Linked DNA regions of Ovis aries. The protein of the gene in region 2 interacts with the protein of the main gene of each other region in a pairwise test. Links are inferred from orthologs where the notes say so. Each region holds a gene or a part of one and is shown on either strand. Other genes may lie near its edges.

Region 1 (6,641 bases), on a different chromosome or scaffold from region 2:
TCATCCAAACTGGAACACTATACAGGGAACTTTTGTTGTTGCTGTTCAGTTACCAAGTTGTGTCTGACCCTTGCAATCCCATGGACTGTAGCCCACCAGGCTCCTCTGTCCATGGGATTCCCCAGTCAAGAATACTGGAGTGGGTTGCCATGTCCTTCTCCAGGGGATCTTCCCAAACCAGGGATCGAACCCGCATCTTTTGCATTAGCAGGTGGACTTTTAAACCCTGAGCCGCTAGAGAAGCCCCACACAGGGAACTTCTGATTCACAATTATGTCAGGCCGACAAAAGGAAACTATTACCGAAATGAGCTAGTGAGGGTGCAGACTCGGTCCATATGTGAGGCAGTTGGAAGAGAACAGGTAGAAAAGGCCTTTCAAGGGGATAAAGACACTTCCTCTGCAGACACAAGTGGGAAAGGGAATATGGATCAAGATATAAGAGGGTTGTGAGACTTGATGACGGGTATCTGGCCCACCTTTTACTTTTATTTCCTCAATAAATTTTGAGGCAAAGTCATCAGCTGAAGGTAAATGGGAAAGAAACCTCGGGAGCTGGGGGTGAGAAATGAAAATCTAATTTCTGGAGCGTAGAATGAATATACTAAGCAAGTGAAACAGGATTGCCAGGGTTAATTCCAGAGTTATGTCATGAATTTATAAATGAGCATAACTATGCATTTTCCTCTTGCAACATGTGGCTGCTTAATAAAAATGACAGATTGTATAATCTAAACTAGGTTTTTAAAAAAAAAGAATATAAAAAGGAGGATGGCAGACAATGAAAACGTGATTAGCCAATGGATTGAAGTCTGCAAGGTAATAGGACAAGAGAGGGTGAGCTGGGAGGATAGGATGGGTGTCAAAAAGCAGGTTCCTTAAAACCAAGATGTTAGTGATATTGCTGTTCCTTGGTGATATTAATAATAAAGGTCAAGGGGCCATGGGAATGCAGGATCTGGAAATAACTATTATTTAAGTCACAAAATCATGGATCATAAAGTTTCAGTACTGAGGTCCAGAGAGGTGAAGTGACCTCCCAAAAGTGGTGAGGGAGAACACACCCTAAACTCTCATTATTTCCCACAAGCCCAGAGGAGAAGAGGTGACAAGCATCTGCGATATACTAATCAAAGGGAACCTTGACTTCTTGGCAGTTGCAATCTCTCTGTCACTTGATTAACTTGGAGGTCAAGTAGGAGAGGCAAGAAAAGACACACTTCTATTTTTATTTTTATATCATTATGGGAGCCAACTAGGAAACTATTGAAAAACAAAGTTACTAAGTATCTGCTCTGGGTGAACATTGGTAGCTGTTATGGTGGGGTTCTGGCAGGGAGGGGGTTATGGCTGACCTCTTCATTACAGGTCTATTGGGAGAAACCAAAGTACCAGCAGGAGGCCTGGGCAGAGGGCCCAGCTCTGCAGCAGTAGCACTGAGGGGCGGTCTGGGGGTTGTAAGCCAACAATCTCATCCTCCTGCATGCATGCCCACTGAGTCACTTCAGTCACTTCCAACTCTGCAACTGTAGCCCGCCAGGCTCCTCTGTCCATGGGATTCTCCAGGCCAGAATACTGGAGTGGGTTGCCATACCCTCCTCCTCTTCCTGACCCAAGGATCGAACCCGCATCTCTTTCGTCTCCTGCATTGGCAAGTGGGTTCTTTACCACTGGTGTCACCTGGGAAGCCCCGCATCCTAAGTAAGCATTACAAAGTATGACTGCTAGATACACACAGCTTCTAGAGAAATCCCCTACAACTCCTTGACTTCAGGGCAAGCCCTGCCCATTCAGGAGCTCTGTGCCTTGCATGACAGGGTGGCTAAAAAACCTCTGAAATGTCCTCTTGGTCTCTTCTTAGCCCACATCCCAGGTTCATGCTGGATTCTGCACTCATACAAAGGGAGTCAGCAGAGGGCCAAAGAAAAGAATAGGAAATTCCAAATTACTTCCACAGGTTTCACTGTGAGTTGGGTTGAAATTTCTTTTCTTCTTTCTCAAATCCACATCCTTAGGATTTGGCGAGCAGTAGGGGAGATGCAAGTCTATTTCCAGTGTGACTATGAAGCTGTTGAGACTGATTTCATGGCCGAGGACAGCCCCATGCTGTTTTTAGCCCCACACCAGCACTCTGGGATCATGCAGATCAGAACTGCCCACGGAGCTCCCTCTCCTGCATGTGATAGCTCTCTTTAAAACGAGATTTCTGGATCAACTCTGGTGTTCCCACAAAGGGCCATTTACATAACTGAGCAAAAAAGTGCCAAGAAATAACTGCCTTAGGCTTGCGGCTTTCTAGGAGAAATGGTCAACACTTCTTTTATTATCAGACTGAAGATGTTTTAAGATTATATAATCTCTAATAATGTTCATTTTCAATGTAACAATAATCATTGACTTCTTCTGAGGACAAAAAAAAAGAGGCAAATGGGAACCAGATCTCATTCGCCTTTAAAATTATTTGCTGCTACAACTAAAATACTCTTAGTTAAACTACTCAATTTTCCTTGAACCCTTAGAGAAGGGTGAGTAGAATTAAGAGGTGTTCACTCCCTCCAGGGCCTTTCTCAGACATGATATGTTTATGACGTATGCCTACATGCCCAGAGGTTCTGTTCTTACCACTCCTGCAGGTCAGAAACACTGGGGATCAGAGCTCTTCTAACCCGTTTCCTATAGCCTTGTTGTTGGTTTAGTCACTAAGTTATGGCTGACTCCTGTGTGACTCCATTGGAAAACTGTAGCTGGCCAGGCTCCTCTGTCCATGGGATTTCCCAGGCAAAAATACTGGAGTGGATTGCCATTTCCTTTTCCAGGGGATCTTCCCAACCCAGAGATGGAACCCGCATCTCCTAAATTGGCAGGCAGATTCTTTACCGCTGTGTCATCTGGGAAGACTTTCCTATAGCCTACTCACTGCCTAAATATTTCCACTGTTTTTCTACCCAACCACAAGTCTCAATTTTCCCTCTGAGTGCTCCTATGAGAGTAACTGTTTCCATTTAAACTATGGAAGAACAAGGAACTCACCCTTGCAGGCGCCATGTAAGTGTCCACAGAGCTTCCTAGAGAGAAGGACCCAGGGCAAGCATGCAGCTCTGGACAAGAACGAGGAAGCCCAGGAACTTCATACCCAGGACTTCCTGTCACCGGCCTGTTCTAGGCACCTAACACTCTTCAGCAGGAGCTGAGTAGGGAGAAAATGGGACTGACTTTTAAGCTCTGATTACCTGGGAAACTTTTATACCTACAGGGGCCTGAGCTGTACCAAAGACCCAGTGAATCAAAATTTGGGAAGTAGGTCTCAGGTAAATTTATGTTATAAAATCTCCAAAAGAGATTCACATACACAGGTAAGGCTGTAAATCTTTGTCTGACCTTCTCAGTACCAGGACGTGGGCCCTCAGACTTCACAAAAGATCAATGTTCCTGCCTCCCTCCTTGACTTCAGACTGAAAAGTGAGGGTGCATATGTGACAACCTTCCCTCCTTGAGGTAAGAGTGAGGACACCGATAAGATATCAAACATTGCCTGCCACTCGGGTGAAAGACCATTCTCTACTCCACTCACGTGGGGCTCCATTTGCTTTCTGATTGAGAAAAATACCCAAGGGCCAGCTCCTGAAGGAAATCTGTTTTACCCCCAATTAACAGACTTTTGATTGGCACAGTTTTGAGACGATACATTAGAAACAGCAGAGAAGTTTGCTGAGTGCAAGAAAGCTAGGGGTCTAATGACCACCCTCCCTCTACTCTGCAAAGCCAAGATAAAAAGAGGGCTCATGTCAGCTCTGTTTGAACAGGAGATGGGTGAGCTCTGAAAGCAAATTACCTGGTTCCTCCAGCGGTAGCAAAGGCACAAGATACTTCTGCTCCTAAGCAACCGATGCCTTTATTTCCTGTCATTGCTCAGGCTGGAAAAATTCAGTTCCCTGTTTCCCTTACATCACCCTCCCTGCTCCCTACCTATCTGCAGAACAGAAACTTGAAATGGTGTCCTGGCCCTTCCCTGATGCTATCTCACACACAGACAAAAATTCTCCGCGAGACCCAGCCCTGTTCTTTTGGGGTATGAGGAAAGGAACACGATCTAGAACGCCATCTGTCATCCTGAAATAGCCAATAGTGGCACTATTTTTACCCAGCAATTATCAAACAAATGGAGTCATTTGAAAGAGTCACAGCTGTTCCTCTGTGTTATCTCAGTACAAATATGACACAGTGCAAGTTGATTTTGGTTTCAGCTTCGTGTCTCATGTACACCAAGCAAGTGTTAATTTCTCAACCTCCCAGAAGAACACAAGTCAAAGTGTGTACTCCACAACTGAGTCATTCGTGCAAATTAAAAATTCCTTGTTATCTTGATTATATGGGTCAGGATTTCACTAAATGAGAACATCATTCCAAAAATGAAGGCAATGAACTCCCTATTTCAGAGTTAGTGTCAGGAAATTTTTTAATCTCACAGAAACATCAAGTTTTCTCCTGGCTAAATATGACCGAAAAGAAGGATTGGTACTTTTGAAATGTGTGTGTCAGCCCTTCCAACAAAAAAGCAAAATTTTGTAAAAATCAATCCTACTTTCCTATGATTGAGCTTCATCATAAAGTCAAAGAGATGTCCTATTGAAATAAATGTCTCTAGGATACTGAACACACACATTCATACACACGTGTGTGTACACACACACACTCAGACACCCAGGCAACTCTCTCCAACATTTATTGTTCTTTTTGTCCACCTGCATCCTAACCCCCTTCCTATGGATGGAGAATTCCCAGCCTAAGGAGGCAGTGCTCTCCCACAATGAGAGTGAACATGCCGAAGACTTGCTTTCCCAGCTTCCTTGCATTGGTCAATCAATCAGACAAGCCCCAAAGTACAGAGCTCACCAGAGCTCCCTCCGGGCACAGAGATGCTACAAGAAATACGAGTCCCTGCAGCAGCAGATGCCCTTGCATGCAGGCATGGCTGCAGCAGCAGGGCTGATATGGGCATGCAGTGTTCAGTACCAAGGGCATCTGGGGTGCAAGCTGAAGCCTCTAACACTGTGCAGTAAGAGGAGTGTCCACCAGACTAGCTCCGCAGGCTGAATCCCCAGCCCACCCAGAGACCCTGTGAACCAGGCAACACCCTTTCAAACCAGCATTCTGGTTAATTGCTACAAGCAAGGACCTTAAGTTGAAGAGTTTTTTTTTCCAATGGTTTAACCATGTGGATACCAATAATCTGCTTGGAATTGTTATCCTTCAAAATTTTCCAGTTCTTACCCAGTTCCTAAGTCTATTTCATGCATACTCAATTCACAGACATTTCTCTAACCTCTGATAACTTCCTGATTTTCTCATTTTCAACTAGGAAAGTAATTGAAAGTAGAAAGATATAAATCATAGGAGGAAGGTGCAGGCTGACACAACCACCTTCTTAAAAAAGTATTCCCCAAGGAATCAAGAAGGCTAACTCAGACATTGTGACATGCTGGCAGACCTCATCAGTTTCGAGAAGTGCCTCTTAAACTTTACTGTGCTTATGGACCTCATGGGGGTTGTGTTTAAATGAACACTGATTCAATAGCTCAGAGACTCCACAGGCCTCCTAAGCTCCCAATGAAGCCCATGCTGTGGGTCCACAACCCTACTTGGGATAGTAAGGCTGACAGGGACCTAGGAACTCCTCCTAAGTCACCAAATAAAACTATCCCAGGCCAAAAAAAAAAAAAACCAATACATTTTCTCTTCGTTTTCTAGAGCTCAATTCCGTTACCTCTCCTTTTAATTTTATATTTAGAGTAAAAAGACTTAAAGTGACAATACATCTCATCATTTGGTTCATGACCCACACCAAATGAAAAAATTTCCATGTGCCAAGTGTTAGAACATATGAAATACATTAGATCTTGCTTCAGTGGTTCTGAAAATATTCATTCTATAAAACTAGCCCATTTAATGCAAAGGCCACTCAGGCTTTCAGTTTGGAACCTACATATTAAATGGTATTAGAAATCTCTACTGTTTTACCATTTCCAAGATTCTCACTTAAGTGGCCTTTAATTTTTTTCAAATGTATATTAAAATATAAAGACACATCCTGGAAGCACAGTAAATCCCATAGTAACAAAGGTATAGGGATACAAAGAAGAAATATTCTCTGTATGTATCTCACTCAGATGTAAAATATATATGTATTATCTCACTTTTCACTGATGTACTTGATAGAGTTTAAAATAAATAAATAAATAAACAGCAATGTCTTTAAAAATGGAAGGCTTGTTTCTTTCCAATATCAACAAAAACATCTTGCAACATGTAACGCAAGTCGAGTTCATATCCACCATCCTCCTTAGAGCTCATACACCACTTCAGCAGCTTTTATACCCAAAACTGTCCACCGTATTTTTCTGATCATTCATCAATGTCCTTTCTGAAGGCAGAATGTATTCTACTTTACTTGTAACACTGATAACTCATCATTAAACATGTCTAAAATTTCACAATACATAAGAAAATCAAAAGGGGGCCACAATCTTCCCCTACCTCCAGCCCCCCGCACATCTAGATACAATGTAGTCAGCCTATAACTGCCTGGAAAACCACAGAGTAGCTAGGAGCATCTTACTTTTAACTCTCCTAACATGAAATTCT
Region 2 (6,641 bases):
ATCCAACCAGTCCATCCTAAAGGAGATCAGTCCTGGGTGTTCACTGGAAGGACTGATGCTAAAGCTGAAACTCCAGTACTTTGGTCCCCTCATGCGAAGAGTTGACTCATTGGAAAAGATTCTGATGCTGGGAGGGATTGGGGGCAGGAGAAGAAGGGGATGACTGAGGACGAGATGGCTGGATGGCATCACTGACTCGATGGACGTGAGTTTGAGTGAACTCCAGGATTTGGTGATGGACAGGGAGGCCTGGCATGCTGCAATTCACGGGGTCGCAAAGAGGCGGACACGACTGAGCGACTGAACTGAGCAACATTCTCCTTTCCTTATGCTTTGTTGACCATTCTATGAAAACTGGATAAATTCTTTATTTTTTCTTTCATCCATCAAATACTTAATGTTTTAGAAGTCACTGAGATAATAATATAAAATTCTTATTTTTCTTCTGCATCAGAAGTGAGTGCTTAATTATTGCCTCAATATTTAATGCTATTAACTATTAAAGTTGTAGATCTACCACTTTTCTGTAATGATTCTTTTATGACAATTTTAATAAACTAAAGATATTCCTTTGTGATTATTTTAGTAATAATCAGATACACAGATATATGAATGTAGAAATATCACATAAATAACTTACAGTTAATAAATGAAAACCCTGTGGAACTTTCCATTAAGGTGTTTCAGGACAATCACAGTAGGAAAAATAGTATTGGGGAGACTAAACTGATGGCTAAATTGTGATTTAATTGAAAACTTCACACCAAAGAATTTTGCCAGTGTATTTTTGTATGTGTATGGACTTAGCTGAAAAATCATGTATGTTTTTGACAATTTTTGACAAATATTTGACAAATACTTGAAATATGTTTAGTTATTATTGAGGAATCTGTTTTAAAATTTTTAGTTTGGCATTACATCTCCTGCCTCCAAATTCTATACTAATATTTCTCTCTTCCTACTCTTCCCAATTCTTCTAAAAACAAACAAACTCCAATCAACTCATAACAATTTTCTAAAAATAAAGCTAAAGTTCATCTCTGTGGGACTATTAAGCTAGGTCTTGAATGTACTGTTGATAACTAACTAATAACTAACCTGATCAGGTAACAATGCCAGGAAATCTAGTTTTACCTTTGCTTGTTTTTAAGAATTAAATCTTGTTTCCCATTGACAGAAAAGAGAGTTCTTATACACTCTCATGCCTACCTCCCAACCAATTTCCCCTATAACTAACATCCTGCATTAGGCTTGTGGTAGGCTTGTTACAACTGATGAACCAATATTGATTATATTACTCACTGAAGCCCACAGTTTACATTAGGATTCCCTCTTTGAACAGTTGTGAGTTTTGCCAAATGTATGTCATGTATCCATCATGACAGTGTCATACACAACAGTTTCACTACCCTAAAAATCTCCTGTGTTCCCCCTCTGTGTCCCTCCTCCGTCCCCCCAATCCTCGCTTTTCCTTTTTAATTACCCCAATTGAGGGTAGTATTAGTTGAAGCTAAGAATTTGCTTAAGTAATCCATGATTCTCCATGGCAATCAACATTTCTTAATCATCAATTTAGACTAGCACTGTCAAACAGAAATAAAATATAAGCCACATATATATTTAAAATTTTCTAGATGCAGTATTAAAAAGAACAAGTAAAACTAACACATTACACTTATCCCAATATATCCAAAATGTTATCAATTCCAGTATAACCACTATAAAAATTGAGATACTTAATTTTTTTTGTACTCTCAAAATATAGTATGCATTTCAATCTTACAGCACATCTCATTTCAAACGACTCATATTTCAAGTGCTCGGTAGCCAGGAGTAGCCAGTGACTAAGGACTTGAATAGTGCAGGCCTAGACTGAGAGCAACTTGAAAGCAAGCTATCCTCCTCTCTCCAGGGCCTCTAGAATAGACAGGAAGGGGATATTTTTGGAAGATATTCAGTACATCAGAAAGACAAAAAGGACTCTCTAAACCTCTGGATGCTGATACTTAAATGTTCTGCAGTCACTTTCTTTAAACTCTCCAGTTCTGGAAAAAGTGGAATGGGGATTATACTCATTTTGATATATCAAAGAAATGAGTATGTATGTATCCTGACTCCCAGAAAGCCTGAATCATCCAGAATGTTGACTCATGGGCCTAAGGTGACTGAAATACAATGTGAATCAAATTTGCCTTCCAAGGCATCCTTCTCTTTCCACTTTCCTCTCTCTCCTCCCTCTTTTGGGTGACTCATCCTTCTACCAGTTAAGTCCAGCAGCGTGCAGATCCCAAAGCCCTCTTTGAAGAAGTACAGACTCATCAAATGGTCTGTTCCAGTCAGTCCCTATATCGTCTAGCCTAGTTGTTTTGCCTACCTCATCCAGGGTCTGCAGTTAAGACTGGGAGTGACTTTAAACCTGTAAAAAATATTATTTTTTCTTTTAAGGTGGTGATGGTGATCCCCTTAAGGTGATAAGGTGGCTTGGGAATTTAAGTTTGAAAGAAAACAAATTTTCATTTCGAAATTTACAATTTAACGTTTGCTTCAATCCTTAGGGCCTACTCCACAGTACCGTTATTCATAACCTTCCTGCGCTCTGGGTTTTTTCCTTTCCTGGGAGGAAAGTTTCCACTCCCAGTCTCCAAGATAACGCCCTTCCGGTGGCGTGCCAGGAACGTCTCCGACCCCTCAGTGCTGGGAGGGAGTCGTTTCGTTTTCTCAGTGCTGTAAACACACAGACTCCAGCTTCGCCAGGGCCAAGACCAAGACCCCAGCCGGACCCGCAACTACCCTAGGCAGTCGGTGGGGTTCCCAGCTCCAAACCCCGCCCATCGAACCCACCCGAGCCGGTAAGAGAGAGGAAGTGCAGTGAGACCCACCCACTTTCGTCTTTTTCCTTTTCTGTTGGGCCGACTGGTTGCCCGTCAACTCTATTTCTTCGCCGATTGGCTCACTCCCTCCCGCGTTAGTGCCTCCCTCTCCCTGGCTGGGAGGGTGTCACGCCAAACTGGGCGGAGCGTCGGCTGGCCTCTCTCCTTCTCTCATCTGGGCGGCGGCGGCGGCAACTGGGGACGGGGCGGGTGGCGCATCACGGGCGCGGAGGCTGGAGGAGCAGTCTCATTGTTCCGGGAGCTGTCGCCACTGCAGGTCCCTCGGCTCGTTGGGCCCTGCCCCTCTCAGTCCTCCCCGCCCCCCACAACCGCCCGCGGCTCTGAGAAGAAGCTTCTCCGGCGGAGGCAGCAGCTGCAGCATCACCTCTGACCTGCCAGCCATGGAAGACATGGACCAGTCGCCTCTGGTCTCCTCGTCCTCGGACAGCCCGCCTCGGCCTCAGCCCGCATTCAAGTACCAGTTCGTAAAGGAGCCCGAGGACGAAGAGGAAGAGGAGGAGGAGGAAGACGAGGACGAGGACGAGGACCTGGAGGAGCTGGAGGTGCTAGAGAGGAAGCCCGCCGCCGCGCTGTCGGCGGCCCCGGTGGCCGCAGCCGCCGCCACCCCGGCTAGCGCGCCCCTGCTGGACTTCGGCAATGATTTCGTGCCCCCGGCGCCCAGGGGGCCACTGCCGGCCGCGCCTCTCGCCGCTCCGGAGCGGCAGCCGTCTTGGGACCCGAGCCCCGTGTCGTCGTCGGTGCCCGCGCCGTCCCCACCCTCCATTACAGCAGACTCGCACTCCAAGCTCTCTGAGGACGAGGGGCCTCCGGCCCGGCCTCCCCCTCCTCCACCGGCCGACGTGAGCCCTCAGGCCGAGCCCTCGTGGACCCCGGCTGCCCCAGCCCCCGCCGCGCCCCCCTCCACGCCGGCCGCGCCCAAACGCAGGGGCTCCTCGGGCTCAGTGGGTGAGTGCCGCGCCCTCCGCCTCGCGCCGCCCCTCGCGCCCCTCCCTCTTTTGTGCGCAGCCCCTAAAGCCTGGACCCTGCCCTTCTGTCCATCCGGAGGGGGCTTTGTCTGCAGATCTTTGGGCGAAGGCGCCCCCGCTGGTGGGAGCCGCGGGGAGCAGGGTGGGGCGGCAGAGGAAGCTCCGGCTTACTCTTTATTGTCCGTCTGGGTATCGGGGAGCACGTGCGCCCCGACCGCTCCCGGGTTGTTCTGTCTGCTCTCCATTCCACCGGGTCGGGGAAGTTAGGAACCCACCCCTTGCAGGAACTGGGTCTGTAATGAGGGAACTAGGGGTGTGGATTCATCGGGCTGCCTTGGTTCCGGGATGAGGATGGAAGGCCTTGGCGCCCTAATCTTTTGTCTGCCCAACTAGGTTGCTCCTGAGGAAAAGACGCAGTTTCTTGCTGGTCTTTGCCTGCATTCAGCCCTGGCCCCTCTCCTCACCCCTTCCTTGGCTTGGGTGGCCCCATGCTCTTCATCTCCCCCGCCCCGGCCCCGCGCTCGTGGGGAGCCGGTCCAGTGGAAAACGTCCACATTGACCTGACTGCAGTGAAGGGACAGCGCCTCCAGTGGTGTGACGCGTGGAGAATTGCGGAGCGGAGTTTCGGCGAGGTCCTGCCACCGCCCAGTTTACCCGGGTTGTGATGTGGCTATTTACCACCAGCTTAACGGCGCCGGGGAAATGGGACCTGGGCACCGTGTTCCAAGGGGGCGCAGTTCTGCCGGGAGCTCTGCCGCAGAAGGAGGGGAACAGTTGTTAGGATGCACAGGTTTAGTCTCAATGCATCGTAATTGAATCGTAGAGATAAAAGGAAAAGGCAAAATGGTTGACATTCCCAAAGAAGGGGAAACCTGTGGATTCCCTGGCGGGAAGAGGACAGTTGAACTTCTGGCAGATTTACCATGGGACTTCATGAAATGTTTTCAGACAGACGTTTTCATCTGTTGGTTAGAAATACTGTTTCGTAGAAGTAATATATTTTAGGGCTGCAGAGACAGATTTGCATTGTCCGTAAATAGTTTTCAAATCTTTTCATTTACCAGCACCTGATTGTTATTACTGTTATTAGGAAAAATTGTTTTATTATCCTTTTCATTTTGGGAGATTGTTTATTTTGGAAGAGAAAAAAGTTTGTTAGAGGTTGAGAATTCATCCTATTAGACACGTTAATTAACTTATTAACAAGTAGCTTGTTAGTTTGGGGACAGAAAGCGTCGCACTAGAAGTAGGACCTTTATGTGTAAATAGGCAAGGATCAAGAATCAGGTAGTGTAACAGTCTGGTGAGAAATTGTCATAGCCTTGTAGGATTTTAGAGCCGGTTGTTTTTCTAGAAAAAGATACTCAGTGGGAGATCATGGAAGAATTTTCTTTTCTTCGGCTCACTCCTGCACCACAAGGAAGAAAAATAAGTCAATAGTGATATCGACATACCCCACAGCATTACTCAAAACATTAATTACTACACTACAGATAATTAGAATGTGAGAAGTAACTCAAGTTTTCCTTTTTATGAGTGAAAACACATTTCGAGAAACTAAAGTAAGGTGGAAAAATATCAAGTAATAAGACATTTACAAATGATAAATTTAATGATTAAGAAAAGCAAACTGATTTTTCATATTGTATTCCTGTGTGGCAACAAAAGAGTTCTGTGCTTTGAACCTTGGAGAGTCAGGAGGTGACAGCATTCTTTCTGTATTTTGACTTTAGGAATACTAACTTTGGAAGACAAAGGAGAGAATGTTGAGTCACTTAGCGATTCTATCTTTACATGGCTCCCTAATTCTGTATTGATGTTGCCTATCTAGAAATTTTAGTTCCTTTAGGACATAAAGGAACACTGTGATTATGGTCAGATAGTTAAACCATGTCACTGAGTCTGGCTTTCTTAACAGTTCTTTCCTGCAGCTGGTTATTGATTTACCTACAGAGGCACTATTCTAGGCTAGGAAAATAGAGCAGTCAGCAAGACAGATGTGTTCCCCATGAGAGGAGTACCGATAATAAACACCTGATTAAGGAACTGAGACTAGTGTTAAGTGTTATGAGCAGCATAGGAAGGATGATGTGGAAAATTATTGAGATGTGTGGGAACCTTTTTACATAGGGTGGCACTGAGAAAGGCCTTTCTGAGGAGGTGAGATTTAAGCTGCAGATATAAAAAATTTCCAAGAAGCTCCTGGGAGGCAAAAGCCCTGCGGCAGTAATGTATGTTTGAGAAGCTCGTGAGAAGACTAGTAAGAAAGCTAAGGAGAGAGTGGGGTGGTAGACTATACTTAGGTCATTTGAGGTCTCTAATAGGCCATGGTAAACATTTTCGCTTTTTGAAAGATTGTTTATTTTAGAAATGTGCTCCTTAATTATATTGGGGTTTTGGAGCAGAAATACAGTTTTGAAGATTGAGAGAAACTAAAAGGATGGACGTGAGTAAAGACAAAGAGGTGGGAAATGTGCAGAGCATAGTTAGAAACATAGATCAGTCTGACTGGAGGACAGTTTATGTTACTGCATATGGTAGATCCCTGACACTTGTGTATTTCGTATTGTTGTTTAACCTCTTCTTGAGTAAGTGCTGATTTCCCTTATTTGAGAAATTGTGATTTTGCTGTTTGCTGTTATATCAGTGCTTGGAGCATCGCCATGCTGAAAGACTGAAGTCTTTCCCCTGCTGAGTGTTTTTCATGGAGAAACATTGGCTTCAGGTTAAAATGATGGTTGTTTAACGTAGGCTTTGAGAACATGCAAGGGAAACCAGATAGAAA
Region 3 (6,541 bases), on a different chromosome or scaffold from region 2:
ATTTACTTCAGAATCACACTGTGTGTAGGCATACAGATTCACTTATAATGACATGAAAATAAGTATTATTCCGAAAACCTTGTTTTTTAACTTTTTTCTACTTTAAGTATTCATCATATAATAAAAATTCTAGTGTTAAATAATAGTTTTTATTAATAAACTATGAACATTTTTGCATAACAGGAGAAACTCCAACTTTGACAGCAAATTGATAGTAACTAGAAAAATAAAGCACATACACAGAAAGTGAAATTGATAAGCAGTGACATACGGACCCAAGAGAAACATGTGCATCTGTATAAAAACAGATGAGTACAGGATGTTAACTTCAGCAATGTCTAATAATAGTAAAATATAGAAAATAACCCAAATATTAGTTAAAAGAAAAATAATATAGTAATAAAATGAGTTACTACACAGCTATTAAAATAAATAAAATGACAGATACCTCCACATGAAAAGAGTTAAAAAATCTAATGTTGAATGAAACAAGTTGTATAACAAGATAATATTAATTTATTTTGGGGGTGAGCTCTGCATGGTATGAAGGATCTTAGTTCCCCCACCAGGGAACTAAACCCATGCTCCTAGCAATGGAAGCACAGATTTTCAACCACCGGACCACAAGGGAAACCCCAACAAAGATAAAATTAATAAAGTTTTAAAAGCACAAAAAATACCATATATGCATACATTTAAAATGTAGTGGAGCAGAAACTAACACAACACTATAAGATAATTTCCCTCTGGGGAAATGGGTCAGATGGTAATCAAAGGGTCCTTTAGTTCGAAAGCAAATATTAATTAACAATAGAAGTTAATTCTAATATACAGAAATACAAGTGTATTTCTTTTTGTACTTCACATCAACCTATAACTACTCCAAAGGCTATATAACACTTAACGGTACAGATATGTTACACACTCCAACAATCTTTAATTGTTAAGGCACTAAGATACCCGCCACTACAAAGAATATCTCTATAGTTGCTTTTGCACATAAATTTCTTTTCCCCTTAGAATACGTAACTAGAAACAAAATTGCTAGGTCATTTCCAGGTCTGTTATATACTGTCATATATACCACAGAATAGCAAAAGAAAAATAAAATACCATTAATTTTTTCATAGCTTCCTTTGCCTATTTTCCCCAACAACTTTAGGCAGAATATAATTACAGAATTGGTTTTACTTTAGAAATGAAGACTGCTCAGATACACTGCTTAGAGCTAGATGCTGGTATATATTAGTAAAATTTACATCTTAAAAGATTTATTCATGATATAAGACAATTTTAAAAGGTTTTTAATTCTGAAACCTTCAAAGGAAGAACTTTTAGCTTCTTGGTCTAATTATACTAGTTTTCATTATCATCTAAAAATGTCTATTAATCATAGAATTTGGTCAGTGACAAAATGACTTAAACTTCCATAGTCCTTTTCATCTCTCACACTAGATTAAATAACTCAGTTGAGATTTACTAATAATTAGCCTTTACGTAGTACTTTATTTACTACAGGATCTTCCTTGGTGGCTCAGACGGTAAAGCATCTGCCTACAGTGCAGGAGACCTGGGTTCAATCTCTGGGTCGGGAAGATCTCCTGGAGAAGGGAATGGCAACCCACTCCAGTATTCTTGCCTGGAAAACGCCACGGACGGAGAACCTGGTTAGGCTACAGTCCATGGGGTTGCAAAAAGTAACACCATGCTGCCGCTGCCGCTAAGTCGCTTCAGTCGTGTCCGACCCTGTGCGACCCCATAGACAGCAGCCCACCAGGCTTCCCCGTCGCTGGGATTCTCCAGGCAAAAACACTGGAGTGGGTTGCCATTTCCTTCTCCAATGCATGAAAGAGAAAAGTGAAAGTGAAGTCGATCAGTCCTGATCCCATGGACTGCAGCCCACCAGGCTCCTCCGTCCATGGGAGTTTCCAGGCAAGAGTACTGGAGTGGGTTGCCATTTTCTTCTTCACTATGAAGAAGGGCAAAATACCACAATATTAACAAAGCAAGATGCCAAACCAATTTGGCTAATTGTCAAAGGTCACATTAAAGCAGGAATTTGCCAGAATTAGACACTGGATTGTTACCACCTAATTTCTATACACCTCATCACCTCAAAAACCTATGTTTAAGAATTTTGACAAGAAGTCATGAAGAAAACTAGTATTTACCAGGGTCAGAGAAACGGTATTGACGATCACCTACTTCAACATCCTCACTTTATAGATAAGGAAACTAAAGCCCCAAAAGGTGATATAACTTAATTGTTTAAAGTCACATTTCTAGACAGTGTAAAGCAACAATATGGATTCAGGTCTCTTTAATCCAAGTTCAACTATCTTCAACTTCTAGAGTATAACAGCTATCCTTAACTGCCATTTCACACTTTTGAGTTTATAAAAAAGCCTCAGTGTTTTCACAGATAATTAATAACAATGCATTCAGTAACAAATAATGATCCAGGACCTACTATATGCCAGGTCCTGTACTTGCTGCTAAATGAATATTTACTATATACTGGGCCCAAGGCAATGGCACCCCACTCCAGTACTCTTGCCTGGAAAATCCCATGGGCAGAGGAGCCTGGTAGGCTGCAGTCCATGGGGTTGCTAAGAGTTGGACACAACTGAGCGACTTCACTTTCACTTTTCACTTTCATGCACTGGAGAAGGAAATGGCAACCCACTCCAGTGTTTTTGCCTGGAGAATCCCAGGGACAGGAGAGCCTGGTGGGCTGCCGCCTACGGGGTCGCAGAGTCGGACACGACTGAAGCGACATAGCAGCAGCAGCAGGCCCTCTAAAGAAAGCTGAGCACTGAAGAATTTGATGCTTTTCAACTGCAGTGTTGAAGAAGACTCTAGAAAGTTCCTTAGACTGCAAGGAGATCAAACCAGTCAATCCTAAAGGAAATTCATCCTGAATATTCATGAGGACTGATGCTGAAGCTGAAGCTCCAATACTGTGGCCACCTGATGCGAAGAACTGACTCATTAGATAAGACCCTGATGCTGGGAAAGAATGAAGGCAGGAGAAGGGGATGACAGGATGAGATGGCTGGATGGCATCACCAACTTGATAGATGAGTTTGATGAATCAAGGAGCTGGTGATGAACAGGGAAGCCTGGCGTGCTGTAGTCCATGGGGTTGCAAAGAGGTGGACACGACTGAGTGACTGAACTGAATAAACTTAGGCCCTTTATAACCTGCATTTACACTTTTAATCTTCACATTATTATAAAGTAAGTACCATTATTATCTCTATTTTAAGGATTAAGATTTAGTAAGGTTAAATAACCTGTCCATGGTCTTTGGTAAGGAAATACCTTTATAAAATAAGAAGTAAATGGTGCCTTTCTGCCGCAGGCTATGATGGGCAGCAGTCATGGTTCTGCAGCAGCCTATGGCTGTGGACTTCCAGGTGACCCACAGATCCCAGCAGGTAACCTAACCAAGCAAGCAAGTTAGTGGTACCCTGGCTGGAAGAAGTGACCGGAGGGAAGTGGCTGCAAAGGACTGAGCCCCTTTCTTATTCTGTGCATAATAAAACCTTTACAGGGGAAAAAAATATGGTACAACCTCATTTAAAAAGTTTCTCTTAACAAAAATCTCATTTTCTTTTAAATATTATAACTCTGTGTCTGATTTCATTTGAAAGAGGAATCTATTGGTTAAGAAGTTTGGAAAACCACAGGGCCCTGCATAGCACCTAACTCTGACCACACTGATCATACACCAAGTGCAGAACCTCATATCAGATTAGAGGTTGGGGCTTGATTCTGGAGGCTTTATAGATCTTTTTTTCATTACACTAAGACACCAGAACAGAGAGCATCTGAAGTAATTTAAATGACGGTCAACAGCTAGGAAAGTAATCACTCAAATAAGCAGAAGACAAGCAGAAGGGCTTCTAGTACCATGCAAAGAGTTTTGACCTGAAGAATGTCAACAAGGTCCAAAGTAGAACAATGCACGAGTTCTCCTAAAGCATCACTGGCACGACTGCACTACAGTACTGGTTACCTACTTTCAGAGCATAAAATCTCTGTGGTATAAGATCAAATTAATTAAAAGTTTCATTTATTATCTTCCCAGCAGGAATTCCTTTCTCTTTGATTGCTAAATAGATTTTACAAGGGCTAAGCAAAATACCTAAGGGCTAAGCAGTGCTACTATTACGGAGATTTTATATTAATCTGTGCAAATAAGAGCCTAGTGATAGTCTTAAAAGCAGCAATCTCCCCTACAGTCAACGTATAATGAAAAAACTGGACCATGACATTTTTTTCCTTTAGGAGAATATTAATTTTAACAAGTAGTCTCCTGCTTTGGGAAACATTTGTATAAGAAAACCAAATCAAACAACCATTAAAAAAAAAAATCTACCTTTCCCCATTATATAGTATATTTTATTCTAGCTATAATTTAGTGATATAAATCAGAGACTAAGAAAAATGGCCCTCTAAATAATCAATCATAGCTGAATTAACCACATGCAATATTTCTTTTTTTCCCCACATGCAGTATTTCTAACGTAAGTGGTTACCTGACACGTCTGTCAGAAGTCTTGTTAGGACAGGCTCGTTTACCGGCTCAGTCTTGCTAAGGCTGGAAATAGCCTCTACCCTAGTAGTTTCCTTGATAACAGTGGGCTTCCTGGAAATCTCAAGATCAGATCCAGTCTCGACATCTTTGTGTTCTAGGACATCAGCTGATCTCTGTGGCCAGGAAGATTCTTTAACATTTGTTAAAGTCTGTTTGAATATTTCTTCAGGAGAGTCTCCTTTATCCTGTACAGAAGCTGACTTCTCCACCTTCCTTTCACTCAGTTCTTTAAGTGCTTTGATTGTGAGCTGTTCTTGTTCTAAGTCGAGAGATGCTATTGGAGTACCTTGGGTAGGGAAAACTTCCAGAAGCTTACTCCCATTTATTTCTTTGCTTTGTTCACTGTATTTGCTTTCTTTGTTTTTAATTTCAGAACCACCTGACTTATTCCCATGCAAAACATCTAGAGGAAGAATTGTTTTAAAGTCCTTAGTCTCCTCTGATGTTGCTTCAAAGGTATTGCCTTCACCTATACCTACTATTCCTTTCTCTCTGGTTTCTGTAAAGGCCGCCATCAGGTCCTCTGGGGAAGAATCATCTGGATCTTTCATATTTTTTTCATGCAATGACTCCAAATAGGCAGAGCTTGTCCCACTTTGTGTGAGTTCTGTAGGAGCTGCTTCTGAAGGGAGTTTTGGGTTCTCAGCTGCAACAGGCTTTTCAGGAACAGCTTCATGCTTACTACCTGACTGCTTCACTTCTGGCGTGCCATTCTTATTAGATACTAGTGAACACACTGCTTCACCTGGGCTCCTTTCAAGAGGATCAGGCCGAACTTGTCGTGGCTCAGAGTCACTGACCGACCCTTCAAATTTTTCAGATGTTCTGTCTTTCTTGTTACAACTGAGGATCTCTTTGACTTCTCCATCTGTTTTTATAACAGGACTTGGGATGGAAACAGGTTTTTCAGCCTGAATTTTGTTGCTCTCAAATGAATTATCTGCTGTGAGGTCTTCTATTACTGTGTCATCAGATTCACCAGAACTATCAGCCTCTGTCACTTCTCCCAACACAGAGGTCTGCCAGCTCATTCCACCTTTCAGGTGGCTGTCGGGTAAAACTACTTTATCTGTGGCCACTCCAGAACCAAGAGAGACACATTTCTGCAGTGGAGAGCCAGGTGACTCTGAAAGTGTGTCGTCTCTTTTCTGCACGCTGTCTTGCACACCTTTGATAGTGACTTCCTGTGTGGAATCAAAATGGTCTGGCACGGCGTTTTCCTGTGGGAGAGGTGTTTCCGCCCAGTCACCTGGTGATTTAGTGTCAGCAGTGCTTCCATTAATAGAACATACAGGAATTTTCTGAGTGTTTGTTTTAAGATTTACAACAGGAATTTCTGAATTATATTCACTTGTGCCAAGTCCTGTAGTTTTTGTGTCGTACTCAGCTTTATCACGCTGCTGTTTCACTTGGGGAACCAAATCCCAAGTCAGTACTTCATTAGTAAAGCTATGCATATCATTCACACATCTAGATACCTCCTCCAATGCTGCAGCTGTGTGTGAAAACTGCCTGGTGAGCAATGCAGAGGCTGGGTAACGCCCTGCTTCTTTCTTTCTCAGTGGAAATACTTTGTCATTAGACTCTGAAATGTCTGCAGGTGATTCTCTACTAGTATGCACTGCCCAGCTACCAAAATCATTTATGCTTTCCTTATATAAGTCTTTAAATTCTTTGTCAAATGCTGCTTTGTCAATAATTACTTCAAATGGTGATTCAGGGGAATCCTTTTCCATAACACCACCTCCTGAAGCTTCAGAAGGAGACAAGGAATACGGACAAATGCCTTCTGCTTTAGGCTGCTGGGTGGCTGGCTTCTGGGCTGTCAGCACAGTGAACTTGTCATCTGCATCCAAGGCAGTTATATCATCCTTATTTGGTTCCTCATTTGGGCTCCTGGACTCTTGATCTTTATTTATCTGTGGTTCCATTTGACCA

Evidence for each region.
Region 1: the proteins of RTN4 (region 2) and SYT16 interact in binary tests that used the Homo sapiens proteins (3 or more experiments, as listed by UniProt). The link is inferred for Ovis aries from reciprocal best matches to the Homo sapiens genes RTN4 and SYT16.
Region 3: the proteins of RTN4 (region 2) and RTN3 interact in binary tests that used the Homo sapiens proteins (3 or more experiments, as listed by UniProt). The link is inferred for Ovis aries from reciprocal best matches to the Homo sapiens genes RTN4 and RTN3.

What each region holds. Positions count from the first base shown.
Region 1 is NC_056060.1:72,053,385-72,060,025, reverse strand, and holds the start of SYT16 (synaptotagmin-16), read right to left. Parts: upstream 3,979-6,641; 5' UTR 3,832-3,978; intron 1-3,831. UniProt on the Homo sapiens protein: May be involved in the trafficking and exocytosis of secretory vesicles in non-neuronal tissues. Is Ca(2+)-independent.
Region 2 is NC_056056.1:68,962,163-68,968,803, forward strand, and holds the start of RTN4 (reticulon-4), read left to right. Parts: upstream 1-3,061; 5' UTR 3,062-3,271; coding exon 3,272-3,836; intron 3,837-6,641. UniProt on the Homo sapiens protein: Required to induce the formation and stabilization of endoplasmic reticulum (ER) tubules. They regulate membrane morphogenesis in the ER by promoting tubular ER production.
Region 3 is NC_056074.1:38,529,064-38,535,604, reverse strand, and holds part of RTN3 (reticulon-3), read right to left. Parts: coding exon 4,545-6,541; intron 1-4,544. UniProt on the Homo sapiens protein: May be involved in membrane trafficking in the early secretory pathway. Inhibits BACE1 activity and amyloid precursor protein processing. May induce caspase-8 cascade and apoptosis.